Macaca fascicularis: one gene and its partners. The protein of the gene in region 3 interacts with the protein of the main gene of each other region in a biochemical or structural test. Links are inferred from orthologs where the notes say so. Each region holds a gene or a part of one and is shown on either strand. Other genes may lie near its edges.

Region 1 (9,206 bases), on a different chromosome or scaffold from region 3:
GCTCACAGGAGCAGGCGGCGTTGCAGCAGGAGGGATTCAAGGGCGGCCGAGACGGTAGTGACTCAGTTCAGAAATGGGTGGAGAAGATAAATCCCGGGAGGTTGGTGTCTCTGCAGCTGAGAGGTCCACCTGGTGTTCCGACCGGGTGGCAGCATGGGCAGATGCGACTGTGAGGGCGCACCTGTGAGCCGGCCACACACGCTTATGCGTGCAGAGGGGGCGTCCGTGTGGAGTGGGGAATCCCACGTGATGTGGAGACTCAGACACAACACAGAGCAGTGAACAGAGCATGGGATTCAGGGACAGACAGAGCCTCAAACTGGACAGCATTGCTCTGCAGCGAGGCCTGACCCACAGCAGGTACTCAGGAAGGGGGAGTGGCCCTTGAGATCATGACCTGCTCCGTCCCAGCCACCCCCAGGCAATGTCCTCATAGAGCGGCTCCCATCCAGCAGGCGCAAGGGCATGGCTGTGCAGAAAGCTCACCTCTGCCCCTCTCTCCTGCTCCAGAAAAAAAGCAAGGTGCACTACCATGTCGCAGTCATCATCAACTACCTGGGCCACTGTATCTCCCTGGTGGCCCTCCTGGTGGCCTTTGTCCTCTTCCTGCGGCTCAGGTGAGCAGACCCCAGCACTGCGTCCTCTTGTCCCCCGGCCCTAGAGCAGGAGCAGGGTGGAGAAGTGAGAGGAGCAGCTCGAGGTCGGGGTGGGGGTTGCTGGGAGAGGGTGGTAGGGCCTGGCTTATCTGAGAGTCTCAGGTCTCCGGGAACCTCTGGCAGGGCCGCTTTGCCCCCTCCGCAGTAGCTGCTGGAATGGTGGGGAGGGACAAAGCTTGTTTTATGTCACCCACACCCAGGACGGGCTGCACCCATTGGGGTGACCAGGCAGATGGTGCCCTGGAGGTGGGGGCTCCATGGAGTGGTGACCCATTTCAGGTTCGAAAGTACATGGGCCCCAGCACTACCGCCAAGGATGCAGGTGGCAGAGCCAGGGATGGGGATGGTTGGGATCAGGAGCCGAGCATCAGGGCTGGAGGCTGGGAGCAAGGCTGACCCCTGTGACTGTCCATCCTGGAATGGCAGGGAGTGGAAGGCACCCCCAGGGGAAGCAGGCATCCCCAGGAAGCCAGCTGCCCTGGTCCATGGAGTGCCAGGCAGAGCCTGGGGCTTTTGTCTGGGTGGGTTGCAGGCAGGAAGGGCTCCATGGGGCATTAGGAGAGCCTTGCTGTCACTTCCCTGTGTGACTTGGCCAGTCAGCCCTACCCTGTGCCTCAGTTTCCTCATCTACACATCTGGGTTGGGGTGATGTGGGTGGCCTGCCCCTTATCCTCTCTCTCCTGTCGCTCCCATCATCCACCTGCCCTGCTGCACCAGGAGCATCCGGTGCCTGCGAAACATCATCCACTGGAACCTCATCTCCGCCTTCATCCTGCGCAACGCCACCTGGTTCGTGGTGCAGCTAACCATGAGCCCTGAGGTCCACCAGAGCAACGTGGTGCGTCCTGGCGGGGGAGCGGGGAGCAGGTCAGGCCAAACCCACGTCAGAGAAGGGGCCCAGGTGGGCCTGCCCTGCAGAGGAGGAGCCCACAGAACAGGAGTGGGATCCCAGGGTGTGCCCCGTCCTGCCTGGGGGAGGCCCAGGGCCAGGGTTTGGTGCCACCCCTGCCCCTCATCATCATCTTTGGTTGGGGGTGGGGTGGCAGGTCTGGTGCAGGTTGGTGACCGCCGCCTACAACTACTTCCATGTGACCAACTTCTTCTGGATGTTCGGTGAGGGCTGCTACCTGCACACAGCCATCGTGCTCACCTACTCCACCGACCGGCTGCGCAAGTGGATGTTCATCTGCATCGGCTGGGGTGAGCTGGGCAGCCACCTCCCCAGCCTGGGCAGTGGCAGCCACCGTGCTGCCGTCTCCTCACCCAGACTCAGGCCAGAGGGCTGGGGGGCCTGAGGGATGGAGGTCGGGTTGGGGCAGTGGGGTGTGTGCCATAGCCCTCTGCTCCTCTTGGGGGTGGGGGGCAGCAGGAGCACCTTGAAGGAGGTGTGTGAGTTTGAGATCCACCCTGGGTAACCCTAGACCGCCTGGAGCCTGGGCTGCACTGGGGTCCTCCAGGCCCACATTCCCCAGCCCCCGCTGAGGGCTCTGTGACAGCCCATCTCTCCCCCAGGTGTGCCCTTCCCCATCATTGTGGCCTGGGCCATTGGGAAGCTGTACTACGACAATGAGAAGTAAGTCACCTCCTTTCCCTTCCTGCCCCCAAGGTTTAGGCTCCCAGCCTAGCTTGGTGACACTCCCAAGGGCCTTGGGCCATGCTGGCTTTCCCCTCAGGACCATGGCTTCTGCATCTGTAAAGGGAGGGATCTGGGGGGTTGGACTCATTCAGAGGGTCCCTGCCTGTGCTCTGCCTGGGTGGGACTGGACAAACAGGATCCAGCCTCCTTTATCTGCCTTGAGCTTACACAGGAAGCAGCCTGGAGCCAGACTGCCCAGGTTCAGAATCGTGGCTCCGTCATTAAATAGCTGTGTGACCTTGGACGGATTACTGCAGCGTGCCTCAGTTTCCTCATCTATAAAATGGACATACTTCCTCAAAGGGCTGTTGTGGGGTGATATCAGTCCATCTATATTAAGCATTTAGAATCGGACCTGGCACATAGAGCAAATGCTGTATAAATGTGTTCTCGTAATATTAAGACATCTTAATAGAAGAGTCCGTGAATTTAACAGAAGTGGACCTAGATGATCCCAGAGGCTTCTTCCAGCTCTGAAGTTCTTTGGTTCCTTATGAAACGGACTCAGGTGTTTCCAGTCGTGCCTGGAAACTTGATTTCTGCTGCAGTGGTGCTCAGCCTTGGCTCACATTAGAATCACCTGGGATGCTTCGAAAAGTACCAGTGCCCAGGCTTCACCGCCAGAGAGTCAGGTGTAATTAGTCTGGGGTGTGGCCTGGCACCCAGAATTCTTGAAAACTGCCCAGGTGATTCTAATGTGCAGCTAAGATTGAGAACCACTGAGAGAGGGGGGGGCAGAAAAGGTGGACGTGGATGGCAGGGGAGCCCCAGGACCTTGTTTGCCAAACAGGTGTTCCCAGGAACCTATCTGACTGACTGACCTGGCGTCCAAGTGGCCTCCACCACAGTGACAAGCCCTCTCCTCACCCCACGGAGGGGAGGGGGCCTGCATGGCTTCATTGGGCTGACGAAGGAGCCTGGAAGATTATCTTGCGTGTTTAGGAGGTTGACTCTCTCCTGACTCAGGCTAGCTGAGGCCTTGGGAGGCCGAGGCGGGTGGATCACTTGAGGTCAGGAGTTTGAGACCAGGCTGGCCAACATGGTGAAACCCCATATCTATTAAAAAAAAATACAAAAATTAGCTGGGTGTGGTGGTGCGCACCTGTAGTGCCAGCTACTTGGGAAGGCTGAGGCAAGAGACTCTCTTGAACCCAGGAGGCAGAGGTTGCAGTGAGCCAAGATCGTGCCACTGCTCTCCAGCCTGGGCAACAGAGCAAGACTCCACAAGCCTCAAAAAACAAAGCAAAACAAAAACTGTTTGGGCTAAAGGAGAAAGTGAGTCTGAGCGGCTCTGAAGCCCCACCTGGTGGTGAAAATTCAACACTGCAACAGAGGGGATCTGGGTGTGAGAAAGCAGAAACGAACTTGCAGACCAGAGGCTCAAGGACTGGACCCAGCCCACAGAAGCTGTGTGTGGCCGGCAGGGTGTTTTCTGGAAACTCGATTTTGTAGCCAAGCTTTAAAAAATCCAAAGGTTTCGTATACAAATCTCAATTTCTGGCTTATGAGATCTAGCCACTGGGGGTCTTCTTACCCACGGGGACATAAGGGCTTCCAGTTTGTCTGGTCCCCACCCACTCCCCAGGCCTCCCTGGAGCTTGCTGGAGGGACACTCAGGAAAATGCAAAGCAATTACCCCCTGCAGCAGGTAGAACCTGTGCAGATGTTCCTCTCAAGGTCGTTCGGGCTGCGATTGGACAGGTTCAGGCTGAGATTGAGAACTGCTGGGTGCCCACTGGGTGACACGTGTGGTACCACTCCCACCAGCAGCCCCCCAGAGGACATGCTGGGCCTCAGCCACAGCCAGGGGACCGTGAGGAGGAGCCAAGGATGCAGCTTGCGTATTGAGCTCACGCCCATTCCCGGCCACGCAGTCTTTCCCACTGTCTGCCTCCTGCCCCGATGCTTGCTTCCAACTTTGCATCTCATCACAGAGGATGCTGTCCATTCTGCAGATGGGACAACTGAGGCTTGGCAGTGGGATCAAGTGACTTGACCTTCTGCCAGGGTTGGAATTGGGACATCTACCTCCTGGCTTCCAGCCCCAGTCCTATCCTGGCCAAGCACTGTCCCTCCCCATGCCACCGAGGCAGATGCAGATGATGACTCCTCCCCTTTCCTCTGTGGCCTTCTAGGTGCTGGTTTGGCAAAAGGCCTGGGGTGTACACCGACTATATCTACCAGGGCCCCATGATCCTGGTCCTGCTGGTAAGACCCTGGGTAGGGGCAGGAGACAGGGCCCAGTGGGGAGGGGCGATCAATGCCAACCGTGGACAGAAAGGACCCCTCTGCCTAGAGGTGGGGGCCACCCAAGGAGGGGGCATGGGCCAGGGATGTGCAGCTGCTCCTGAGGAGGAGGGAGAACAGCAGGAGCACTGAGGCCAGAGAGGCCAGAACTGAGAAGCCTGGGTCCCCAGCCTCTTGCACACTCCAGCCTGCTGGTGTGCTCAAATTGCAGATCAATTTCATCTTCCTTTTCAATATCGTCCGCATCCTCATGACCAAGCTCCGGGCATCCACCACGTCTGAGACCATTCAGTACAGGTAACCGGGTACCACCTCCCCCAGGCCTCCCCCTGATGAAACCCCTGCTCCCCATGCCTCTCACGTGCCAGAGACCTGCCACTCCCTCCCCCGACCTGGCCCTCTGCTGAGCCAGCGGGCAGCCAGTCCTGGGGTGGGCTGTGACTCCAAGCCTCCCCACCTGCCCCACCCCAGGAAGGCTGTGAAAGCCACTCTGGTGCTGCTGCCCCTCCTGGGCATCACCTACATGCTGTTCTTCGTCAATCCCGGGGAGGATGAGGTCTCCCGGGTCGTCTTCATCTACTTCAACTCCTTCCTGGAATCCTTCCAGGTACAGCCCTGGAGGGGCACACTGGCACCTCCTTGGGTGGGGATTCTCCCAAGCAGATGCCTGGAGGGTAGGAGGCCAGGGAGAAGCAAGGGGCAGCCCAGAGGCTGGGTGGGCAACACCTGTGACCGACCTTTGACGCCTCCTCTCTCCTCCCCAGGGCTTCTTTGTGTCTGTGTTCTACTGTTTCCTCAACAGTGAGGTGAGGACCTGGGGGCCCTGCGGCGGGGCTCAGGGCTGCAAGGCCTGTTGGGGCTGGCGATAGTCTAGAGCCTTCTCCTCCCCTCCCAGGGCTGGCTCTCTCCCTCCCTGTTCCTCCTAGGTCCCTAGGGGGATGCTGCTGGGAGCCCCAGGCCGGCCCCTCCCACCTGTCCACTCCCACAGTGACAGCTCTCTCCTTTGCTCTCAGAGGCCGCTGGCACCAGGCTGGAAGCCAGAGCTCCAGTATCTTTGATGAGCCTGTGACAACCAGGAAGGGCTGAGCCCTGGGCAGGGGATATGTGTGGGTTGAGAGCAGGAAGCCTTGATGGCAAAGGCCATATGGTGTCTTCGCGTGGGTTAGAAAAGGGTGCCCCTTCCCCAGGACATTTGAGAAACCTGTTCCGGCAAATATGCAAAGCAGCCATGTTAAGGCTGTGAGTGCCATCGCCTCCTGAGGACTTCTGTGTACTCAGCTGACCTGCACAGCCTCTTACCTGAGCAGCTGCTCATGCCGACCCAGGGGAGGGAGGGGGTCCTGAGCGCCAGGCTCAGATGTCATGCTCCTTCCTGTGCCCACAGGTCCGCTCTGCCATCCGGAAGAGATGGCACCGGTGGCAGGACAAGCACTCGATCCGTGCCCGAGTGGCCCGCGCCATGTCCATCCCCACCTCCCCCACCCGTGTCAGCTTTCACAGCATCAAGCAGTCCACAGCAGTCTGAGCTGGCAGGTCATGGAGCAGCCCCCAAAGAGCTGTGTCTGGGGGGATGATGGCCAGGCTCCCTGACCACCCTGCCTGTGGACGCGACCTGTTAGGTCTCATGCCCACTCCCCCAGGAGCAGCTGGCACTGACAGCCTGGGGGGCCACTCTCCCCCTGCAGCTGTGCAGGACTGTAGCTCATGAGTGGAAAGTCATCTACAGGACTGGGCCAGTCCCGGGGCCTCTGGCTTCCCTGCCCAGTCCTCCGTGGAGAAGGGACGTGGAAATGAATGGAAATGGGCTGCTAGACACCCACAGCAGCACGCGCGTCCCTCCAAGGCTGTCTTCTCCCAGAGCACAAGAAGTCCAGCCCACTGGGACCTGGGGCTGCCCTCGGCAACTGTGGGGAGGCCGTTTGCTGCCCCGGGGCATCACGGGCAACTCGTGACAGCCTCTGACTCACCATGATGACGCCTCTGGACCTCGGTGATGCCTTCCGACACCACTGGGAACCAAGGGCCCTCGCTCAGGAACCCTGGAGACAGAAGTCAGGTGTCATCGTCAGATGTGTGGCCACAGCACTAGAGTCACCCCCCAGGCCTCCAGAACCTCATTGACACTGTGGCACTGCCACCAGCAATGCCCTGCCTCGCTGCCTTCATCCTGAACACTTACTACCCTGCAGGCCAGGCCAGCTTCCCCTCACTTAACCACAGGCAGTACCCTCACCCCACACCAGTCACCTCCTGCCCCTTTTCCTCTTTTGTGAGAAGAGGGGGCTGGAGGGGGCAGAGTGGCCTGTGAGCAAGAGCCAGGGGTGTCCCAGCCCCGGCCTCTGGGGCAGAGCTTGTAGCCCCGGATGGCCTCTGGGGCAGGACCACTAGCTAAACAAGCCAGGAGAAGGCTCCTGCCCAAGTGGCTCTTGGGACAACATGCTGCTTACACTCTAGGTGTGGACTGGCTACAGCCCCCACTGACCTGCCCATGTCCAGAGGGACTGGACAGCCAGAGCAGGGCTTTGGGGGGCACTAGAAGATGAGGGTATCGGCTGTGAGGCGGGTGGCTGGTATAAATAATAATATTTATCTTTTCAACCAGCATTTGTGAAGGCCTGGACTCCACAGGGGGCTGGATGGAGAGGGTGTCTCACAGCAGTGGGAGCCATTTCCCAGCTTTCAGGGGCTGCTGTGTTGCTGGGAAACCTGACCCCACTCTCACCCCGGCAAGGATGGTGCCAGGAGAGCCCCCGAGGGCCAGGAGAGGGGTGAGGGCAGAAGGGAGGGCTTCGAGGAACAGGTGGATCTGGCCAGGGCCCCCTTAGTTAGGGACAGCTTGTTGTGAGGAGGTCAAGTAGAGGGAGAGGAGGACCAGGGTTAAGGATGCAGAGGAGGGACACCATGGGTCAGGGGAAGGAACAAAGGAGACAGGAGTGTGTCCCAGCCCTGGGCAGGAGCTGAGCTGAGGAATGGGAAGCAGAATTAGGGTGCTGGGCCACCGGACAGGCCAGAAATGCAGCTATCTCCGCTTGGGCACCACAAGAGACCATCCCTGAGACCCTGAGGTTTCTTGTGCAAACTCGAGGGAAGGGGAGTACAGAGAGGGCAACAGGGAGTAAAGCCAGGCAAGGAAGGCAGGGGAAAGCGGGGAGGCTAGAGAGGGACACAGTAGCCTGTGAGCAAGAGAGGTATGTCCCAGCCCTGGCCAGTGCCGCTCTGATGTGGGCAGCACGCTCTTGGGCTCCCCTGCCTGCTGGCTTTAGTGCCCCCAACTCTGAGCTGGAGCTTGTAGCCCTGGGTGGCCTCTGGGGCAGGACCAACATTCCAACACTGTTGCGGGTGCCTAGAGCTCCCTTCCGCTGGGGAAGCCCTCCCTCATCCCACCCAACAGGTGAGGGAGCTGGGGTATTTATCCACCATCTCCCATCAGCTGTGGGTTGAGGGCTGCTCCCAGGGGGACATGAACTCTTCTGCATTCCCACATCAGGCTACAGAGGGCCAGAGCGAGTTCTCAGGCACAGAAACGCGCAGGTGGGTGGAAGCCAGTGTGTGCTGCATTGGAGGGGCAGGGGGTGTGGGTGGAACACCAGAACTCGACACAGGGCCCCACTGAAGCCCGGGCCTTGTCTCTGGGTCTCTCTAACCAGGGAGGAGAGCCCATGGGTGGGGCATATGTATGCACATGTGCACTTGTGCACCCAGGCGCACACAAGAGCTTGCAGCGTCAGGACACCAGGAACAGACAAAGTCAACGCAGTGCCAGGAGCCCCGCGGCACCTGCTGAGGGAGGGCAGGTTTCACTGGGAAGGGCCTGGGCTCGGGGGTAGCTAAGGATATCCTTGAAGGCCCTGTGGGGTACTCTGCTCTGCCAATTCTCCAAGCTCTGTGCCCTGAAGTAGAGAGATGGGGTGGAGGACCCAGGGAGCACCATGACAGAGGCAGGCTGGAGGCTTCCAGAGCAACTTGAGGGTATTGTGGGAAGTGGAGAGAAGCCAAGTAAAGGGTCCTGGCTGCCTGGAGAGACCAGAAGTGACCTGAGTCTCTAATGGCCACAATGGAGACGGCTTTCCCAAATCTGCCTCTCACCCAGTGAAGGCAGAGACATGAGAAGGCAAGGCTTTCCCGAGACAGTGCCGGCGGGGATGGGATGGGGGGCACACCCCAGGGGTGGAGGAGCTGAGAGGGTGGGGGTGGGGGGGAGACAGGGAAGGGATGGTACAGACCAGGAAGTGTGCGTAAGCGCAGCCTGGCCGCACCCCGCTTTCCTGCGTGGGCTTCCTGGCAGCTCTCACTGCCAGGCACCTTCTGGGCACCTACTGTGTGCTTAGCACTGTGCTAGGCCTTGGGTGAGAGGGAGATGAGCAGCCACCCCAGGGGGGCCCCCGGTACCCCAAAAAATACAAAGCTCAGAGCCTCTGGCTCTGGAAGGCCACCAAGAGGACAGCTCCAAGACAAGTCTGGGGGTCATCCGAGAAGCTGGAGGCGGAATCCCTGGGCAGGCAGATGGAGCCTGGGGCTCCCCTCCCATTCTGAGGGTGGAAGGGCTGCTTCAGGGCACAGCCAGAGACATCTGAGCCTCAGCACCTGCAGCCCAGAGGCCCAGAGTGTTCTGTGTCCCGTGGCAGACGTGCGCTCTGGGCTTCGGCGCAGACAAGGCGTCCCTGAGG
Region 2 (10,001 bases), on a different chromosome or scaffold from region 3:
GCATTTTTTGGAGAGTGTTATCCTGCCGGAAGAGTAGTTCAATAGAGTTTGCTTAAAAATCATTGCAATGTAGCAATGTTATTTGGGATGCATTGAATAAAAAATTATGAGATTCAGGAGCAATATTCTAGATGGAAATTTAAATGGTGCAGAGGGTGTATGTGAAGAGGAAGAAACAGAAATTAATTTAATTCCATTTGCTGATGTGACTGTAGCACAACTATTTTTAGGTATAATCCAAACAGTGCATATCTTCTCCATTTTGATTAGTAGAAAATTGGCAGGGAGTCAAAAGAATTAGTATTTCTCAGCACATTATGCCAGAAATGTACAAATAAAATGACATTATCTGTGCCAATGTGGTTAATTTGCTTCTAAGGTTTTTTTTCCTTCAAATAAACGAATGAGTCCAGCTTGGTTAAAAACATTTTTAAAAAAGTCTTTCACAACTGGCAGCAAAAGTTGTAGAATAATTTTTCTTTAGATCCTTGCTGAGAACCTCTTGCAAAAAACTTAAATGTTAATATTGCCCTGATACTTTGGGTGCAGAATTTGTGTCTGGCAATTCTATATACTGCCAGAGGAAGTCAGCACATTCAACAAAATGTGAAATTAAAATAAGCTAGGAAAATGTGCTTAACAAGGAAAGATTTCACAATAGCCACTTAAGAGTTACTAATAATTCCAATTCCAAAGAAAGCATAGACTAAGAAACAAATAAATAAACTCTATTTGCAAAGTTTTATATAGGCAAGTTCACCAAAGGATGAAGCCATATGCTATACCAATTACACATTTCTACGTCGAAGAGAGAATTTATATATCCTGGAAAATCTCCATTGAGTTCTTGTTAGTGTTCAACCTGAATGTAACTTCCAATGTAGCAAATTATGAATCTTGATCAGATTTTCCTGCTTTGATTTTAAGGTTTATGCTTTTGGTACATTGATACATACAAGCCTATGGGTAAGGCTGCCCTTATGCACACTCAATGCCCTCTTCCTGTTTCTGCAGTTCACATTCTCACCAGATTAAGCAGGACTGGCTGCTTTCTCCTCCCACTACCATCACTACTGGGACTGACAGCCCAGCTTCCCCACATTTCCTATTATAAATCAATGGCTGCCTTCTTCAAAAGAGACAAAAAGTAGTCTTCATGGGGATTTGGAATCACTGACATGGTCTGTTTCTGAATCCATGTAATTCTCAGTTGGAGAGCTTAGGAGATCACACAAAAATCTTTTCTATTTCCTGCCAATACATAGACACCGGCCCCAAGATTATAGTGGTTTCCTCTAACTCACTAAAGTGACTAAACCTGTGTACTAAGTAGTTAAATTATACACATTTGTTCTTAAAGCTTAAAGGACTTTCATGATTTTAAGACCTGAGTGATTTTAAGACCTGAGATTTGACAGGCCTGCATATATGTTTTGGGCTGGGAAGATTTTTTTTATTTAAATGTGAAGACATCGAGACAAAATAAGCAAATAAATAGGAAACCAAGAAAATGAAGCATTTACCTGGTACTTCTGTGTTTAGTATTTCAAACAAAGAAGGACAAAACCCCTAAGAAAATGCATCTTATGTACTCATGGTCGGGGGTGGATAGAAATTAACCATATTTGGTTCCTAGGGAAATTACAGTGACATTTCATCCTGAGACTGATTTTACATTCTTCAAAACATGTTTCTTTAAGTATTTATCTTTGTATTCTTAAAGAAGCTCTCCTTTTTCCTTTTTATTTATTTATTTACTTTTTGCTGGAAAGGGGTTAAACTTCATAGCAGCTTTTGTTGAGGCTGTTACCGTTCATGCAACCTTCCGCTGGTCTCTAAAACATCTACGTCACTAACCTTTCTCAGAAGAAGGTTGCCTTGTCTTTAGAGTATGCCGTTGCAAAAAAGAATGTTCAGTCTCAACTTTTCCTTGTTAGAGAATACTCTGCTCATTTAAAGTGTAGCAGAAGCCAGAAGTTAATATTCTTTACTTTGGCTTATTTACTGTACGGTCATGAAATAAAAAGCTTATTTAAAAATATAGTAAGTACTTTAAATATATTTTGGAGAAAGTAAAATTAATCTCAGAACAGATTTGCACTATCCTTTCCTTTAGGAAATAACTTTATGAAAAATACCCCATCCTTCGGGTGCCGTAATTTTGTTAGAAACTTAAATCCCTTCACACTTGCTTTTATCTATGATCTGTCCACCCAGAACTTCTGGCAAAATGATTTATTTAACTACATAAGAGAAAAAACATTTACTTCAGAAGTCCTTTTATACATTTTTGCTTAACCATGAAAGCATTTTTCATTCTAAACAGCCTCTGGAGAAATCTGCACACACTGATCATCTGCAGGCTGTGATTTTCTATTGGAAAACAAAAATAAGCTGTGGAAGCCACTTATTGCATTCCAAGTAGGCAACTGATCATTCAATGAGTTAGTCTTTCCTGCATTTCCATGAAAAGTTGCAGCTGAGTTAAATGACCGCATCACTTTTTGTTTTTTTTTTTAGGAGATACGCAATCCCAAATGTCACTTCTTAAGTCAAGTGCAGCAGATGGGATCTTGAAAGTGCCTACAAGTAGTCTAGAATACCTTGAATCTGGCTGTGAAAATTTAGGACAAATCTGCAGCTCTCAGTAGGTAAACACCTTATTTAGGTCTGGAGGCATTTTGCTATGTTATTGAGTCATGAAAGTCTATTAAAAGAGCTCTATGGGAAATCCAGTCTATATTTTGAACAAAACAAACTGTCTTTTTCATTATCACTGACCCTTTACAGACACACAGTACATAATCTTGATTGTGCTTCATTGGTATTTATTGCACATGGACCAATTCCTCACACAGTAGTTAGTTGCACCAGAGTATAAATACTTGGTAAAACACACAAGAGGAAGTAGAGTTCACACACAAGTGCTAACTTTCACCAGCAAATTCACGTGGGCACTTGGACATAAAAAAAAAAAATAAAAAATCCTTAAGATAATTATATTTATAATATGGATACAGTTACAGTACCATGATAAAGGAGTATAAAAAGGTATTTTCCCCAATAAATCATTAGCTCAATAACATACTAGACAACAGAAGTAGAGTTTGAATTTTATTTTAGTTTTTAAGATCTGCCCAGCCCCTCCCCCTTTAAAAAATATTTAATTTCTTTTTGTGCAAGTAACATCTCCTGTGGACTTTGTAATTCCTAACACTGTGCAAAAATGGCATTTTGAACCACTCCTTTTTTTTGTTGTTTTTGTTTTTATCCACATGTGCAGTAATCTGAACTGTTTCTCTCTCTCTAATGTCCTGTCTTCAATTGACAGAGTCACATGTCACAGAGAGAGGCTCTGCGCCTGGTCCTTCCAACTAATATTGATACATAAATAAGCTGTTTAATATAAACAAGTCGTTCTATCTGCTGTGCAAACGCACAGTGTGAGGTAGAAATCCCTCAGCCTGACCACCCAGGCGCGCGGGGGACGGCCGGTTTGCCCTACACAAGGAAAGCAAGGTGGGGCTTGTTCCAAGAAGAGCTTAACATTTCTTGAAACGTGAATTTTTTTTTTTTTGCCTCCATCCTTTCTCTTTGCTTTCATGACAGCAGAACTCATTACTTAGAAATTAAAATGAAATTTATCTGGAAAGCAAAAGAAAATACGTCTTGACAAACTGTCATTCTCCTCCCTCTGGCTGGTAGACTGCTCCTGTTCCTGGGAAAGGGATAGGAGCCACGCTGATCGATTTTAATCCCCTCCTAATGCTTCTTCCTTCCCGTAACCCACCCAACTTCCACTCCGGTCCTCGCAGAGAGTGTCAAAAACCAACGTGGGGGAAAAAAAATCTAAAGATGCATCACACGCACATACAAAAGAAGGCCGGACCACAAACAGAAAAAAAAAAAAAAAAAAAAAAGGAAGAAAGAAAGAAAAAAAACCAAGGAACATCAGCAAGCCACTCTCCCATCCCTCCCCAAACTTTCCTTTTTGTGCAATGGTCCGTGGCTTTTCTGTTTGCCTCGGATGATTCAGACGAGGATTGTGGGCTTCGAGTTCACCTGCTTTCGGTCTTGAGTAAACACAGATCTCCTCGTTCCCCCGGGAAGTCGTTCCGGGGCGCCCGGGCTCTCCTCCTCCCCGGGTGCCCGGCGTCCTCGCCCGGCGCCGGGCCCTACACCTTGGACTCCGAGGCGAATCCGGGGCGGCACGGCTCGTCCAGGCTCGAGTCGCTGTCCGCCGCCGCCCCGCCGTTGCAGCCGGCCCAGGGCTCCAGCAGGCGCGCGGGCTGCGTGGCCCCGACGACATCGTCGTCGTCGTCGTCCGAGGCGGCCCCGGGCGACGGCGGGGGTCCGGGCCGGGCCAGACAGCCCGAGGCGCGCGGCCGGTCTCCGTGGGCCGCGTGGCGCCGGCGGGCAGCCCTGCGCGCGCAGCAGAGCAGTCGCTGGAAGGCGTTGCGGAAGTCGGGGCTGCGGCAGTAGATGATGGGGTTGAAGGCCGAGTTGGCGTAGCCCAGCCAGTTGAAGAAGACGAAGAGGCGGTCGGGCACCAGCTCGCGGTGGAAGGCCTTCACCACGTTGGCCAGGAAGAAGGGCAGCCAACAGAGCGTGAACACGCCCATGATGATGCCCAGCGTCTTGAGCGCCTTCTGCTCGCGCAGGGCCACGAGGCGCGAGGGCCGCCGCTTACCCGCACGTCCGTTGACCAGCGGGGCGGTGGTGGCAGCGGCGGCGGCGGGGCGCGGGGGTCCGGGCGGCGGCGCGGGGACCGGCGAGGGCGAGGGCGAGGGCGAGGGCGAGGGCGGCCGCGCGGGGCCGCCGAGGAAACGGCGCTCGCAGCTGTCGATCTTCTTCACCTGCTTCTGGGCCTCGCGGAACACCCGCAGGTACACGAAGGCCATGATGCACAGGGGCACGTAGAAGGAGACCACGGACGAGGCGATGGCGTAGGCCCGGTTGGTGACGAAATCGCAGCACTTGGGGTCGTTGTAGCAGCGGCGCGCCTCGTCGCTCTCCGCCCGCCACCAATGCATGAGGATGGGCAGGAAGGACACCAGGGCTGAGATGGCCCACACGGTGCACACGAGGCCCCGCGCCCGCGCGCGCGTCAGCAGGCTCTGGTAGCGGAAGGGCGAGGTGATGGCGAGGTAGCGGTCCAGGGCGATGACACACAGGGTCTCGATGCTGGCCGTCACGCACAGCACGTCCACCGAGGTCCACAGCTCGCAGAAGAAGGAGCCGTACTCCCAGCGGCCCCACACCACGATGGTGGCCCCGAACGGCACCACCAGCAGCCCCATGACCAGGTCGGCGCTGGCCAGGGACATGATGAAGAGGTTGGTGAGCGTCTGCAGCCGCGGCGTCTTGGCGATGGCCACGATCACCAGCACGTTGCCCGCCACGATGAGCAGCACGATGAGCGCCATCAGCAGACCCATGCCCGCCGTCCACTGCTGCGACAGCGGCTCGGGGCCTTCGCTGGCGGGAGGCAGCAACGAGGCGGGCGGCGACGCGGGCACCAGCAGCCGCGCCGCGGTGGCCACGCCGTCGGGGAGCGGTGCGGCCGACGACAGGTTACCGGGCTCGGAGGCGCCCAGGACGAGCGCCCCCGCGCCCATGCCGAGTTGCGGAGGCCGGAGGCGGGGGGTGTGGCAGGGCTGGGCCTTGGTTGGGGAACACCCCAGAAGCCTGGACGGCGGGGTGCGCAGAGGGAGGTCGCGGCCGGGTCAGGGCAGCCGCGGCCCGGGGCCGGAGGCATGGGCGCCGGGCGCCTTTCCCGCCGGAGCCGAGCGCTGTCGCTGCCGCCGCCGCCGCCGCCGCCGCTGCTGCTGGAGCCGCTGCCGCTGCTGGAAGAGCCGCCGGGACCTCAGCATGTTTCTGAGCGCGCCGGGCCCGCAGCTCCGGCACCCAGCACCCACCCCACCCCGCTCCCACTCCCCAAGCCAACCCCCGGGGCCTCGCGTCAGCCTCCTGCAGCCAATCCGGGCAAAGGCACGCCCCCGTCTGGTCAGCCCCCCCAACCTCCAACTCCCCGCACTCCCCTCCCGTTGGCAATTGAGCGGCTCCTGAGAGTCCCGAGCTGATCGTGGAGCTAGTGCCTCCCGTGCGCCCGCGGGTTCTTGCGGACGCACCCCTTCCTGCGCCCGCTGGTTCCTGGTCCCTGTTCTCCCGTGCCCCCTCCCGCGCTCGCCTCCCCCCTGGGGCCCCGCCCCCTCTCTCAGCGCCCACTCGCTCTCGCACCGGCTCCTGCGCCTCGTTTGCCTCCTGCGCGCCGTTTGCCTACAGCAGTCGGCTGCCTGCTGCGCCCCCGCTCCCTCGGCATCCCCTCGACCTGCAGTGCCGGGGTTCCCTGCGTAACAGTGCGCTAGCTCCCTTGAGCGCGGAGGGGACCTTGGTGTTCAGGAAGCGCCAGAGCGCCTGGGACAGCTTGTCCGCCAGGCTTGGAGGAGTTTGCCCTGCGAGCTTGGTTGTGATGTGGGGCAGCCTAGCAGGATGTGTGTAAAACCCTTCCCCCGTCAAGACGGGACCCAGCCAGCCTGCGTCGTGACAGCTTGGGGGATTGGAGGTGGGTGTTAGTGGTTAGAAGAAACTTCCCAGCAGAGCGGGTTGCTGGAGCTAAGCGCGCATCTGTCAAGAATGCTCTCTGGGCGCTGTTCTTGCAAGGATCCTCTGTTGAACCTCAAGTGCAGTAGATGTGGAAAGGAAGTGAAGGTTTGTGCATCTAACAGCTAACGCTGAGGGCCCGCTGGAATCGTACACACTCCTCAGTCCTAGCTAATGAATGTGTGAGCATGATGCAAAAATGTGTGCTCACGATATAAAGGGAGAGTCTTAGGGAGACAGAAACGTTGAGATACAGAGTAAATGATACCACCGCGAGGGGGGAAAACGCGTTTAGTTACATTTTAGGCTTTTCAGTGACAACACCTGTATTTTGTGTTTTATTACTCATGTGATTTTATAATTTGAGCTGGGTCAATACAAACAAAAAGGTACTGTCGGTTTATGCTGACGTCATGAACTGCGATTTCAGATTCCTTGGTCTGCGTGCTTGTTTTCTCCTTTGCCCAAGTTCCCAGATTCTCAAAACTCTGACATTAGTTTTGGAGGGATAAGACAAGAAAACATATAAATACTCCAGAGGATTAAAATCCGAAAGCATTTAAAGTTGTATCTGTGCTTTTTGAGTTGGCAAATGAATCGCTTTGAAATTAGTGAGTTGTTAACCTGGCTTAAAAGGATTATATTGGGGGTGGGGGGACGGGAAAGCCATGAATACGCAATATGGCAGGACTGCAAGCCCCTTCTCTAATTTGGCTCTTGTAGTGTCCTCAGCTCAGGCCTGAAATAAAAAAAAATAAAAAAATAAAAAAAATTTAATTGAGTCCTTGAGAAGTAAACAGCTTCTAATTGTTTATGTAAGGGTGCATGAAAATGTTATATAATGCTCACCGGTCCTTCTAGCATTGGAATAAGAACAGTGTCTGTAATGAACATCAACATGTTCCTTGATGTTGGTCGTCAGTATGACTAAGCTCATATCCTTACCTTGCAAGGAAAGACCGACTTCCACAGCTGTCCAGGTCAAAAGCAAAAAGTAATGTTTTTCAAGTTTATATAAAATCAAGCAGTTTTAACCACTTTCTCTTACATAAATGCAAACATATGAATTTGCTTTAGGCCCAAACTTGATCATCAGCGCGTTAAAACTGGGGAGTGATTTGTTTATTCACTCCTGCCCATGGCTTATCAGCTGATTTTGCAACTTGGGGAGGTTGAGGAGGGGTGGCCAGGAAACAAGAGGAGTTAGAAAGAGGGGAGGAGGCCGGGCGCGGTGGCTCAAGCCTGTAATCCCAGCACTTTGGGAGGCCGAGACGGGTGGATCACGAGGTCAGGAGATGGAGACCATCCTGGCTAACACAGTGAAACCCCGTCTCTACTAAAAATACAAAAACTTAGCCGGGCGAGGTGGCAGGCGCCTGTAGTCCCAGCTACTCGGGAGGCTGAGGCAGGAGAATGGCGTGAACCCGGGAGGCGGAGCTTGCAGTGAGCTGAGATCTGGCCACTGCACTCCAGCCTGGGTGACAGAGCGAGACTCCGTCTCAAAAAAAAGATAAAAAAAAAAAAAGAAAGAGGGGAGGAAGGAGACTACACCCCAAGTTATCCAAGTTACTGCAAGCTTGAGACTCCTGGCTTCTTTCTTTTTATTTTTTTTTTGAGACAGAGTTTCACTCTTGTTGCCCAGGCTGGAGTACAGTGGCGTGATCTTGGCTCACTGCAACCTCAGCCTCCCGGGTTCAAGTGATTCTCCTGCCTCAGCCTGTCAAGTAGCTGGGAGTACAGGCACGTGCCGCCACACATGGCTAATTTTGTATTTTTAGTGGAGACGGGGTTTTACCATCTCAGGCTGGTCTCGAACTCCTGAGCTCAGGTGATCCACCCGCGTTGGCCTCCCAAAGTGCTGGGATTAGAGGCAGGAGCCACCATGCCTGGCCTCCTGGCTTCCTTCTGGACCCACAAGGGGCAGTCTCAAAATAGCCAAGGGATTGGAAGAAGTTGAAATTGACGCTGCCCAGGAAAGGAGTTCTGAGTGCTGAGCTGCAGGGTGAGGCATAGGGAATGTGGGGAAGAGGCTTTTCCTCGCCATCTTTCTGTCAAGTGGTGTTACCGGAATAGAGTGTGCCAACCTTAAATGCCCCCGAAGGGTGGAAGGCATTGCTTTTCTGTGTGCGATAAGGCCAGAACTTGGTCGTAGAGGTTCAGGGCAGAAGCCAGATGCCAGTAACTTTGTCATATCACCATTATATATATAAACACACCGTGACATTGGAATTGTTGGAAAACTTTCTTGAAACTTTTTTTCCCTGCTCATTCAGAGATATATCAAGTTTCTCTGAATTTCTGTATAATACATTACATTATAAACACTCGAAACCAGGAGTACCAACACAGGGATCTCGAGAATTCTTGGGGATTTCCTTCAATTTTACTGACAGAAGAGTTTGGAATAGTTCATGTTCAACTAGAGTTGGTTGTCTAATAAAAATAAAATGTTCTCAGAACTCCTTTAATTCCTACATTTTATGATTGGTGTTTTTTTTTTTTTTTAACTTTATTTTTAGCCTAACACTTTTTGTTCTTAGGTAAGATCAAGAAGAAAAGGTTCAACATATCAACTTTTACAGGTATCGGATATTGTAAGTTGAATAAAACTCCTTCATTTCTTCATTCTTCACTTGCAACTGTTAAAGTGAGTCAGTTCTAAAAACCTGTATATTTCACAATGCTTTGGAAAATGACAGAAAGCTCCAACAATGAAGGCTGATCAGCACACTTGAGAGGTCGTGCACTTCTTCCACGGAGTTCCTGCCTCGACTTCTTCCTTTCCCATCCCACCACCTTCACCCCACGCCGGGAGTTGGCATGGGTTCCATTTGATCTCCCTGCCTCTGGTCCTCCCTGCTCCATTTAATCTGGCGTACCATAGCCAAAGGATTATTTCCAAAATGCTGTTTCGACCAAGATGCTTTTCTGTTCAGCAATCTTACCTCTTTAATTTGACATTTATAGCTCTCCTCGGTCCGATTCCAAATGGCCTTTCCAGCCCTATTTCATACTAGAACTCTCCTTATCCCCATAACTTGCATTTCTGTATTCTTTTTCCTTTTGTGGATCCATACTCCTTCCTTTTATACATCTATACTTCCTCACTGGGTTCCCTCCACCAAAACCCCCTCCTCCTTCCCGGTGAATTCAGCCTTGGAGATCTGGCTGGACTCTATCTTCCCTGCCCACTGCTTCTGAAAATGATCTCTCCTTCCTCTGACCTATAGGAGTGACTCTGCCAATTTCATTTCAGGTGGCAATTTACAATAGGTTGCCTTTTGATACTTCTTATATTGTTATCTTATTTAATTTTTATGTTTTCCCCTTTTCTTCTCTTATAGATTGTAAACTCACTGAGAGCCAGAACTGTCTCATACATTTTATATCTCCCATGT
Region 3 (9,884 bases):
GATGTAATAATAAAAGCAACTTGTATTAATTATCTATGATGATATGGACATTGTACTATATTTTTTAGCAGAAGTATGTCCCTATGCAAGTCTTTAATTAACAATGTAAATTCAGCAATTATGATCTTATTAATAAGTTTTCTACATAAGATGATTTACTTTTATTAAAGGAAATATAACAAATACTAGAGACAGAAGAGAGCTGAGAATAGAATTGAGTAAGTAATAATAAAGTCACAATACTAAGAAAGTTATATGTTTGTTGTCATAATATACAGCCAGATTATCGCTAGGAGAGATTTTTAGAAATTAATATTGAACCCTGGAGCTTCAAGGTAGATGTTTCCATTGAATCATAAAATAGGATTAATTCAACTAAAAATCATGGGGGAGCTAGCAGTGGAAGTATTGTTGGCTTGTAACAGTATTAATACAGAGACTTATTTGACTTATTTATATTGCATTACTTTCATACCAAGTATAGAAATACTATAAAATAGTATTTTAATAGTACTATAGTACTTTAATAGGATTTAAATAGTATTTAATGGTATTTTAACAGTAGCATAAGATACTACAAAATAGTATAGTATAAAATACTATAAAATGCAGTACAAATTGCATTTTTACTTATTTACATTGCAATACTAACAAATGCAAAGTATTCTTTTTGCTGAATTTGATGCATTTCTTCATTATACATTGTTGACTGTGAACACTTATGAATTAACTGTTTTATTATTGTTATCTTTATGAGGTGCTTAATTTCTAGCTGAGAAGTAAAAGTTCAACAGCATGATACTTACTCTCAACTACAATGATGTATTAATATAAGAAGTATAAACTCTTAAACTTAAATTAATAAATTCTAATAGGATTTCTATGTTGTCAAGTTTAGAGTAAATAATTCAATATATTCACCAATTCTTTGGGAGTAAACACATGGGGTATGAAGAAAATAAATTACTATGTAAAAATAAACTATGTCTAAAGTATAAAATAAATACAAAATAGCAGATGTTTACATGGAAAGGCAGGATCAGTGGGAGTTATTTTTAAAAGGTGAAAATATGTTCCATTGTATTTATCGATATTATCCTTCAAATAAATTCTTTTCAAATAAAATATTTATTTCATTATGCATAAAAACCTTAAAATACAACTTGCAAATTACTCTGTATTAGTCAATCATTTCATATTTTTCAGTTAATGTGAATTGAGTAAAATATCTTGAAAATTAAAAACACCTCATAATGTCACTAGCTCAAAATGACCAATATGTTTGCAATAGCATTTACTAAAATCTACATAATGCTTGTCACCTGCCAGACACTATACGATTTAAATACATAACTTATCTAATATTCTTAAGGTACCATTACTACCCCAGGTTAGTTATCTTGTTCATACAGCTAGCACTAACTGACATACTCAGGAATCAAAACTAGGTGGTCTACTTAGGAGAGTGTACCTTTAACCATTGCTCTACCCCACCTTCTGAGGAAAATGATTCTGCCAGGGTCTGCTATATATTTGAAAATCATTACTTAAACTATAATCAATCAGAGATGTCAAGTGTGAATATGCTTTTCTCATTATGAAAGTGAATTTGTGAGTTACAAGCAATGAAAAGGAAAGTGAGCATAATAAACGTGCCAAAAGATTAAACAGTTCAAATGTCAAGAACAGAGATAGTACAGATAAAAAGCAAATAATCATATTTAACATTTGAGGTCATACCATTTAAGTTATCTACACCTACCAAAAAACTACATTGAAATCACTTATAAATTATGCTCCAAGAGAACTGTCTCATTAACCTTGTTAAAAACATTAATGGTACTTTATTTGTAAAATAATAAACTCATCAAAATGTTTAAACAATGTTATTGTTTATTAAACAATACTATTCATATATCTCACATTTTTATGGAAAAAAGTCAATCTTTACAGAAAATTTGACATAATTTGTTTTTACCTTTTCAATACAAAGAAGTATAGAGATTTGACTCTATTATTTTAGCCTGAAGTCAGTCAAGAAGAAAGTATGACTCTTAATAAATGTGGATCTACTTTCCTTTGAAGGTATCTTTGAAAGGAGCAGTAGGAGGGAGAGCAATGTAGATCTTCTCTAAAACTGAATTTCAAAGGATTTATTTGGCCCATCTTCCACATGGGAAGAATTAGATTTTTTTTTTTTTTTTTTTTTTTTGCCTTTTATTTCCCATTGTGAGATCCTAAATGGGAAAATAAGTCCAGGTTATGTAGGTCTTTATGCGGTATTACAGGCATTAGCAGCCATAGTGCAAGGAATGTAGGACACAAAGGCCTGTGTAACTGGCTGCTGTGAACTTTAGTGGCAAACCTTAAAAAAGGGAAAAGAAAAAGGAAAGAAGACCTTTAGCACTTCCATATAGATCTCAACATCACTCAAAAAACTTTCTTCAACTGGGTCTGATGCATTAATGAGATCATAGAATTACTGCTAATTTAGCATTACATCCTTTGGTGCAGAAAGTTTATTATTATAAATAAAATGCCATCATTCATAAAAAGTAATTGGGTGTGACAATAAGCCATATTTTAATATGTGGTTTATTACTGTGTGGATTAAAAGCAGAAAGCTTAAATTAAAAAGAGAATTCCTTGAATTTAATTAAACAGTTTTAAAAATTGTTTTGCAGGTATTTAAACAGTGTAGAAACACTATGATATATATATATATACTATGTAATATGTCTTAAAATCCCAACAACTCACCTCCTTTTAAAATTATGACAGATTAAAATTATGATAACTGTAATGTAAAATTAGGCAAACAAGTGAATAAAAATTGAGTAAATAATGCGATTTTACCTGGTGCACTTAGTAACAATATTCTTATTATTCAAATATTATCTTTTCTTTATAAAATCTTCCTTAAACTATGATATGCATGTAGTTTCTGTATAATACCCAATGTTAGAATGAATATTCAAAAATCAATCTCATTAATGTTTTAAAAATGCAACTGCTAAACAAACATGGTTAAGTTTTTCAGCTATGCTAGTTTTTTGCCTCTCTCAAAATATAACTACTGGGCCAAGAATTTCTAAATGATTTTCCAGTAAAAGACATCTGTATTGAAACCTAAGACACACAGGCACTATAGTAAAGCTTCTGAAATTTTCATTTTATAATCATAAATAAAATTAATCTATGATTTAACAAGGAAAAGATTAGAATAGCAATATGAATCATATTTAAAAGAAAGTACAAGAGAATTACTTAGTCCACACAAGGTAAAAGGAACTTTGTTTTGTTTTTTGTCAATAGTGATTCAGGAGATGAATCGGGTTCCTATGGGTTTCTGTGAATATCATTATACAAATTTATCATCAATGAACCAGTGAAGCACGAAACAGGGTTAATATAGAATGAAAAGAGAGTTTCTCCTCAATATATCACTTTATAAGCATATATTCTAGTTTTAAAAGCAATAATCTTCCACATAAAATTCAATACAAGAGTGATCACAGACCACATTAGATCGAATTATGGCAGGATTCAAATAATATCGAATCCAGGTCCTCATCTTATATAGGAATCCGTGGCATATGATCATTTCAGCTTCTTCATGGATACCCACAATGACGGGAACTTCATCACAGGGTGCTCACGAATTGTTGGAAAACTCTGTTAGAAAGCTCATGATTTAATCAAAGTAAAGCGGCTTCATCCTTTAAAATTTCTCATAGATTTATCACCATTTTGTCCTGTGGGCTATCACAGGATAGTCAGAATTCCTTTTCTTACCTGATAGCTTTTCGCTATTTAATGATAGCTTTTATTCTCACTTCTCCAAGTTAAGTCTTTCCACTGCGTTTCATAGAATACATCTATAATACACAATAATCTTTCTTTCTCTTTTGAATTTACTCTTTGCTAATGTGAGTTTGCCAACATCCTCCTCAACCAGGCGTGCTCAGAATTGAACACAACATTTAAGATGTGGTGATCATTGCAAACCATAATAGGGCATCCCTTTGTAGGACTCTATTAAGTCCAATTTAATAACACTTAACTTTTGCAGCCATGTTCCACGACAAATACCAAGCATTTGGCCAACAAAACGATGCTCATTAGTTGCATAGTGGACTTTTTGTACCCAAAGATCTTAACATTTATATCTATTCCTATAAGGTATTATTTTCACGTCGAACATGTTAACATGAAGCTTTGTATTTGAACCTTAGGTATCTTATCTTCAAAAATATCAAGATACTCTATTTTCTTTTCTACCAAACTCATATCCCTTCAGTGTTGTATAGTATGGAGCTACCTTGACTTATAATAGCTATCTCAATTAATTAATACTCTTAATACTCAAGAATCCCCAAGAAAAACATTTTCTTGTATGGCAATTTACATTTGAGAAATTTTGTCCAAGACTCCTTTTTCTCTTGTTTACTTTAAAACAAGTTTTTTAGAGAATAATTTTACAGTGCAGTACATCTCCGTAAGAGCGTTTCTTGGTAGTTGATCACGATTAAGTGGCAAAATGCAGGTAATGACATGCTCAATTCCACCTTTGAGTCAGGACAAACAGTGTAACATCGACGACAACAACAACAACAAACCCTTAGGCTGATATGCCTGTGCCACAAATATCCATACATACCGCACATGAATTGTGCAGTGAGGGAAAGAAAAAAAAAAAAGCTACTACTTTATTCTACTTAAAGTTGTCCTCTATTGAAACTTTTATCTCACTCTTCTCTCCTTCTGCACCATAATTTTCTTTCAAGCAAAGACAGAGAGTTCTGGATGATTCCAGTCTCTCCAAATCTACATCACAGCCTCCAATCGAGGTTCTTTAAAGTCAGGTTGGAGCTGAGGGAGCCTGGGCTGGAACCAGCAAGGGTTTCATCCAGCTCCTCCTCCAAAACACGCCCCCCAAATCGGAGCCAGAGGAGAGCCCAACCACAGAGAACTTCCACTCTATGAGGGCAACCTCTGAGTAAAGTCCTGCCTACAACCATTCATCTCCTCCGACCCCCGCCCAGCACTAGACCGCGCTCCTAGCACCGCGCCTTCTTCCGGAGCCTCCTCCGCTGGGCTGGCTAGGGGTGAGCGCAGGGGTTAGTCAGTGCGCACGTGACGCGCGATGCCCACATGACAAGACCGTGGGCGGGGGAGGGGGACAGCGGAGCGAAGAAGGGGAAAAGTTACAGAAGACCCGTCAAATCGCCCAAAGCAATTTGTCCCTTCCCTTCCTCGCCAGCAGTGGCTCACGGATCCCTAAGGGACAGCTGGGAACCCAGGCGTCTCCAGCCCAGCCCCAGAAACGCTGGACGCAGTTCTCCGCTCACCCCACCACCCTCTCTTCCCAGACCCGCTGGTGATGCCGCTGCACCCTAAAGTTGCTCCTTCCTTCTTTCTCTCCCTTCCTCCCTTTCCTTGTTTCTTTCTTTCCTTCCTTCATTCCCCAAAAGCTCTTCATCCACTTAGGGTGATGCCACTGACGCACATTCAATTTGCCCCAGGATCTCTGAGGAGGTCAGACCAGGCCGAGCACCTTCCAAAGGGGAGGGTCTAACTGAGCAAACAAAGTTGCACGCCACACCGCAACCTGCCCCTCCCCTCCCTTTAGCCCCCAAGTGGAATCCCCGGCGAAACTCACTTGCACTGCGGGTCCCCTCTGGCCCCTACCCCATCATCGCGCAACACACCCCTTTCAACATGCGCGCCCACCCTTTCATTGCCCTGCGCCCCGAGCGGTCCCACCGCCCGGCAAAACACTGAGCAAGCCGCTGCGCTCACCTTGCTTGACACACTTGAGCCGGAGGGGGTCCTTGCAGTGTTTGATCACGGCCAGCACGTCCCTGATGGTGAGCCCCGCCACGGGGGTCTCGTTCACCTCCAGCAGCAGCTCCTCCGACACCAACTTGCTGCCGCTCTCATAGGCCACCTTTCCGGGCTTCACCTCCCCCAGGTAGGGGAACTGTCCATTCTCGGCGCCCCCCTTCAGTTCAAAGCCCAGCTGGCCCTCCGGGTTCCTGCCAATGACACTCTCATGGACTTTGCTAGTCCAGTGGCTTTTCTTTTTCAAGCTTTTGGACATGGCAGTGGGGTGAGTCGCCTCAGTTCCTGGGGCTCCTTGGGGTTAGGGGGGTTGGTGGTGAGAGAATGAGGATGGAGGAGCAAGGGGGCCCAGGGGGAAGAACAGCAGACTTTGCCTTCTCCCCCCTCTATTCGGTGCTTTCCCTCTTCTTTGGATGGAGTGTGGACGAGGAAGGGGGAGGATGAGAGGGACGGCTGGGCAGAGGTAGGAGAGCTTGGGTGAGGTTGTGCTGTCCCTTGAATGACACTCAAGGCTGTGGCCCCGCAGCAGAGGAAGCGGTGGTGGTGGCGTCGGCGGCGGCGGCGGCGGCAGCGGGAGCTAGCAGTAACCGAGCTGGTGAGCGGGTGCGGTGGGGGTTGGGAAGGAGGGTAGGGATGCCGGGGGCCACTCCTGCGTGGTGCGAGTGGGAACGCGCGCGCGCGCCTGGGTGTGTGTTGTTAGCTGATATCCATGGCAGCTGCAGTGGCAGGGTGCGTGTGCGTGTGTGTGTGTGTGTACTAGTTGTACTGTACTGGCATAGGGGAGGAGGCAGGGGAGGAGGGGCGCGCGCGCCGGGTGGGGAGCCAGGGAGGGCTTCGCCGCTGCCTCCCTCCCTCCCTCCGCAGCTTGACCCGGTAGTGAAGGCAGAGAGAGAGGCAGGCTGGGTCCGCCTGGCAGCCTACGGGAGGAGGCGGGAGCCGGGAAGGAGGGGAGCCGAGGCCCGGCGTGGGGAGGCCGGCAGGAAGGGCCTCGAGCCAGTGCGGACCTTTCTTCAGCCTCTGTGCCGCCGAGCCGCGCGCCAGGCTGCTGTGCGAGGAGGACGCGCTGACTTCCTCCGACCTGGGCTCCTATGGAGCAGAACTAGCGGGACCTGGACTTTGGCGCTCTTGGTGCCACATCTCGGGCTCTGCGAGCCTCCTGGCGTGGGATCCTGCCGTGAGAAGGAACTGGGGCGGGGGACCCAGCGGGGCATTGCGGGAGAAGGCCTGGGAGCCCTGGGAGACTTGTGGCCTGGGGGAGTTCACTGTGTAGAGAGGTTTCATGTCTTCCTCTATACAGTCACTTATTTGTCTCAAAGTTCTCGAAATTCCCTCTTAGAGAAGGAGAAAGTTAGAGAACTGGAGGCTGCGTACCCTGATTGCGCAGAGGGGAAGCAGCCTCGCGTTCCCCCGGGCAGGCCCCCTCCCGCGCGTCCCGCCAGTAGGGGAATTTCGCGGAGGGTTGCGGTAGTCTAGTGAAAGGCTATCCAAGGGTAAGGGGCTTCGCTTTTCCCAAGCAGGGGAAACAGAAAGGGTCTACAGGGCTAGGGGTGGAGGTAACGGATGCAATGAGCAGCCTCCGCAGAGAAAATGGACAATTTAACTAGGGACCTGCGGCCGAGAGAAGGCAGAGGCGCTCCCCTGCCCATGAAAGCCACCAGAGTCGGCTTGTACCTGGGGAAGAAACCTTAAGACGATCTGGCCCAACACTCCTTTAGTCACAGAGAAAGGGGAGAAGGCTCCCGAGAGTGAAAATGGCACAGTCGGAGCTGGAACTCAGCTCGATGACCCCAACCAGTGTTCCCTTCTTTTCGCCAGGTTTGCATCCAGGAGAGGGGAGGATAGGGGCAAAAAAGGATGCAGGGAGGCTGCTGATTTCCACAGGAGAGCTATTTTCTGTGAGACATTAACAGTGATTTTTTTTTTTTAATTCCTGTAACTGGTAAATGAATTTCATTTGCTTAACTTTTAAATGATATGTTTCAGACAAAAAAAAAGTTGCACACCCACTTATCTCTTTAAGGCAGAGGATGAAAAGCACTGAACAGGTAGGATTCTTAATGTCTGAGATGAAGGTGATGTCGGAGGCAAACAGTACAGTTAAAAATGTTGAGTCGACACAAACAGAAACACCAGATTTCAATCCAAACTCTACTGCTTACTGAGAATGTGATCTTGAGTAAACTGACTTTCCTGAGCCTCAGCTTTCTTAGTTGTTAAGTGGACTTTAAAAATACTAATCTGTTAAGACTGTGATGAGAATGAAATCAGGGAAAGCAGGCACAGCAGTGCTCTCCTGGCACAGGTGAGTAGGCGTTCGAAATGATAATTCCCTTCCTCTTTCCCTCAGGTATAACTTACTACTTGGGGATGAGGGGGATCAAATGTAGTCAGAACTGGAAGAGATCTTAAAGATGATTTGTTTAACCTTGTGTCTTTTTTCACTTGAGAAAACAGATCCTCCATAAGTTGGCTGCACTAGTGAAGCTTATTCAGTAAGCCAGGGGCAGTGCCAGGATCTGAAGCCAGATCTGCAAGCAATGCCCAGGAGTAGGCAAGACTTGATAGCAAAGCCTAATCTCACCCAGAGAAGTTGAGTGTTAGCATTATGAGGCATAGTTCTAAATAGAAACTCATTATGAGAACCGAATATTTATATTGTAAAACCAAATGACAAGCTACCATTCATGGAAGATACTAATATTTATTAGGTTCTAACTACATGCTAGATGTTGTTCTATAGGCTTTACACATAATACTTCATTTCTCCTGACATTTTGATAAAGTAGGTACTGTTATCTCCTTTTACAGGTAAGGAAACTGAGGTATACAAGGATGAACTTTTGCAAGGCTACAAATCTAGTTAATGGTGAAGGTAACATTCAGACCCAAGTGGTTCAGCTCTAGACTTTGTCTCAGTTACTGAATTGAACTCTCTGTTCGCTTACCATGTGTCATACCAGCTCTCAGTATGTAGTGTCCCAAAAGATTGGGCCTGCGCTTTCTTTCAGGGGGCAATTAGGAAAAAAGTAAACAAATGGAGCAGGATTTGGGCATAACAGCATGCTTCTCCCATCCCCCAAATCCCAGACGTGTCACTGGGGTGTGTGCCAGTTAATTTAGCACTCTTCAACTTCACAGCCACCCTTCTTTGCCCTAAATTGTGACATTAGAGTTGAAATCTGTAAACGTCTTTATGGTCAGTTGGCACAATGTTTAGGTTTGTCAATAGAAGGTGCTAAGGAAACACTGCAGAAAGAAAGGGGCTCCTTTTCTTGGTTCCAGTGCTTTCCTGCTTGCTCCTACCGTGTGGTGGCCAGTGAGTGACTTTCTGACCAGTGGTGTGCAGGAAGGCCATGTTACATAATCTTCAGTAAATTTGGCCAGTTCCCTAGTGTGTGTCTTTCTATGGAGTGCTGCTGGCATGTCAGTGGAATGGCTTCCTAGCAAGTTTTACTGAAAACACAGCTGATGGTTTCCTCAGCAGCCCAGTGTGTGACACCTTAAATTTCTGGATCATTAAGTGGACCACAGCCATATTATTTCCAATGAGGTCCTACTCTCAGGCTTAGTAGGGTGGCGGGTGGGTAGGGGGAAGTTCTTCTTAGTTATTCTCTCTTTGGGTACTCTCCTGTAGCCTGACAGATAGTGACTATTCCCAACAATCACTATTGCTGTGTTCTTTAGTGGGCTTTTTTCCTCTCCTAATAGTTAACACGCTTTGACTGGATCTTGATTGATAAAAGTTGAACCCTGAGGAAAGCACTATCCTTGGAGTCAGAAATTGGGATCAGACTATATTTTTTCTCTCTATTTTGGTATTCCTCACATTCACTTTATTTACCCTTTTTGGATTTTATGCTATGTCAAGAAAAAATTATTTCATCACTAAGCACTCCAAGTGTAGAGCAGAACGCTAAATATTGCATACTATTCTAGAAGAAAAATAGTTTAGGAATCCTAAAAGCCAAAGAAAGAAAGATATGAATGCATTCAGTTCTTAGAAGAGTTCTATGGGATAGATGCTTGTGGCAGACATGGTC

What was found.
Region 1: the proteins of MAGI2 (region 3) and CRHR1 form a complex in vitro, tested with the Homo sapiens proteins (2 studies listed by BioGRID and IntAct, with this or other methods). The link is inferred for Macaca fascicularis from reciprocal best matches to the Homo sapiens genes MAGI2 and CRHR1.
Region 2: the proteins of MAGI2 (region 3) and ADRB1 interact in a test that uses a peptide from one of them, tested with the Homo sapiens proteins (4 studies listed by IntAct, with this or other methods). The link is inferred for Macaca fascicularis from reciprocal best matches to the Homo sapiens genes MAGI2 and ADRB1.

Annotation. Positions count from the first base shown.
Region 1 is NC_088390.1:67,416,633-67,425,838, forward strand, and holds the end of CRHR1 (corticotropin-releasing factor receptor 1), read left to right. Parts: intron 1-510; coding exon 511-617; intron 618-856; coding exon 857-943; intron 944-1,373; coding exon 1,374-1,494; intron 1,495-1,702; coding exon 1,703-1,856; intron 1,857-2,168; coding exon 2,169-2,229; intron 2,230-4,427; coding exon 4,428-4,500; intron 4,501-4,750; coding exon 4,751-4,836; intron 4,837-5,010; coding exon 5,011-5,146; intron 5,147-5,303; coding exon 5,304-5,345; intron 5,346-5,923; coding exon 5,924-6,064; coding exon of another isoform or gene 6,065-6,113; 3' UTR 6,114-7,140; downstream 7,141-9,206.
Region 2 is NC_088383.1:123,083,727-123,093,727, reverse strand, and holds ADRB1 (beta-1 adrenergic receptor), read right to left. Parts: upstream 5,880-10,001; 5' UTR 5,619-5,879; coding exon 4,176-5,618; 3' UTR 2,808-4,175; downstream 1-2,807. UniProt on the Homo sapiens protein: Beta-adrenergic receptors mediate the catecholamine-induced activation of adenylate cyclase through the action of G proteins. This receptor binds epinephrine and norepinephrine with approximately equal affinity.
Region 3 is NC_088377.1:141,974,187-141,984,070, reverse strand, and holds the start of MAGI2 (membrane-associated guanylate kinase, WW and PDZ domain-containing protein 2), read right to left. Parts: upstream 6,478-9,884; 5' UTR 6,440-6,477; coding exon of another isoform or gene 6,356-6,439; 5' UTR 6,113-6,355; coding exon of another isoform or gene 6,104-6,112; coding exon 5,803-6,103; exon of another isoform or gene 5,631-5,802; intron 1-5,630. Other genes in the region: uncharacterized protein, read left to right, coding at 6,478-7,018, 7,828-7,889. UniProt on the Homo sapiens protein: Seems to act as a scaffold molecule at synaptic junctions by assembling neurotransmitter receptors and cell adhesion proteins. Plays a role in nerve growth factor (NGF)-induced recruitment of RAPGEF2 to late endosomes and neurite outgrowth.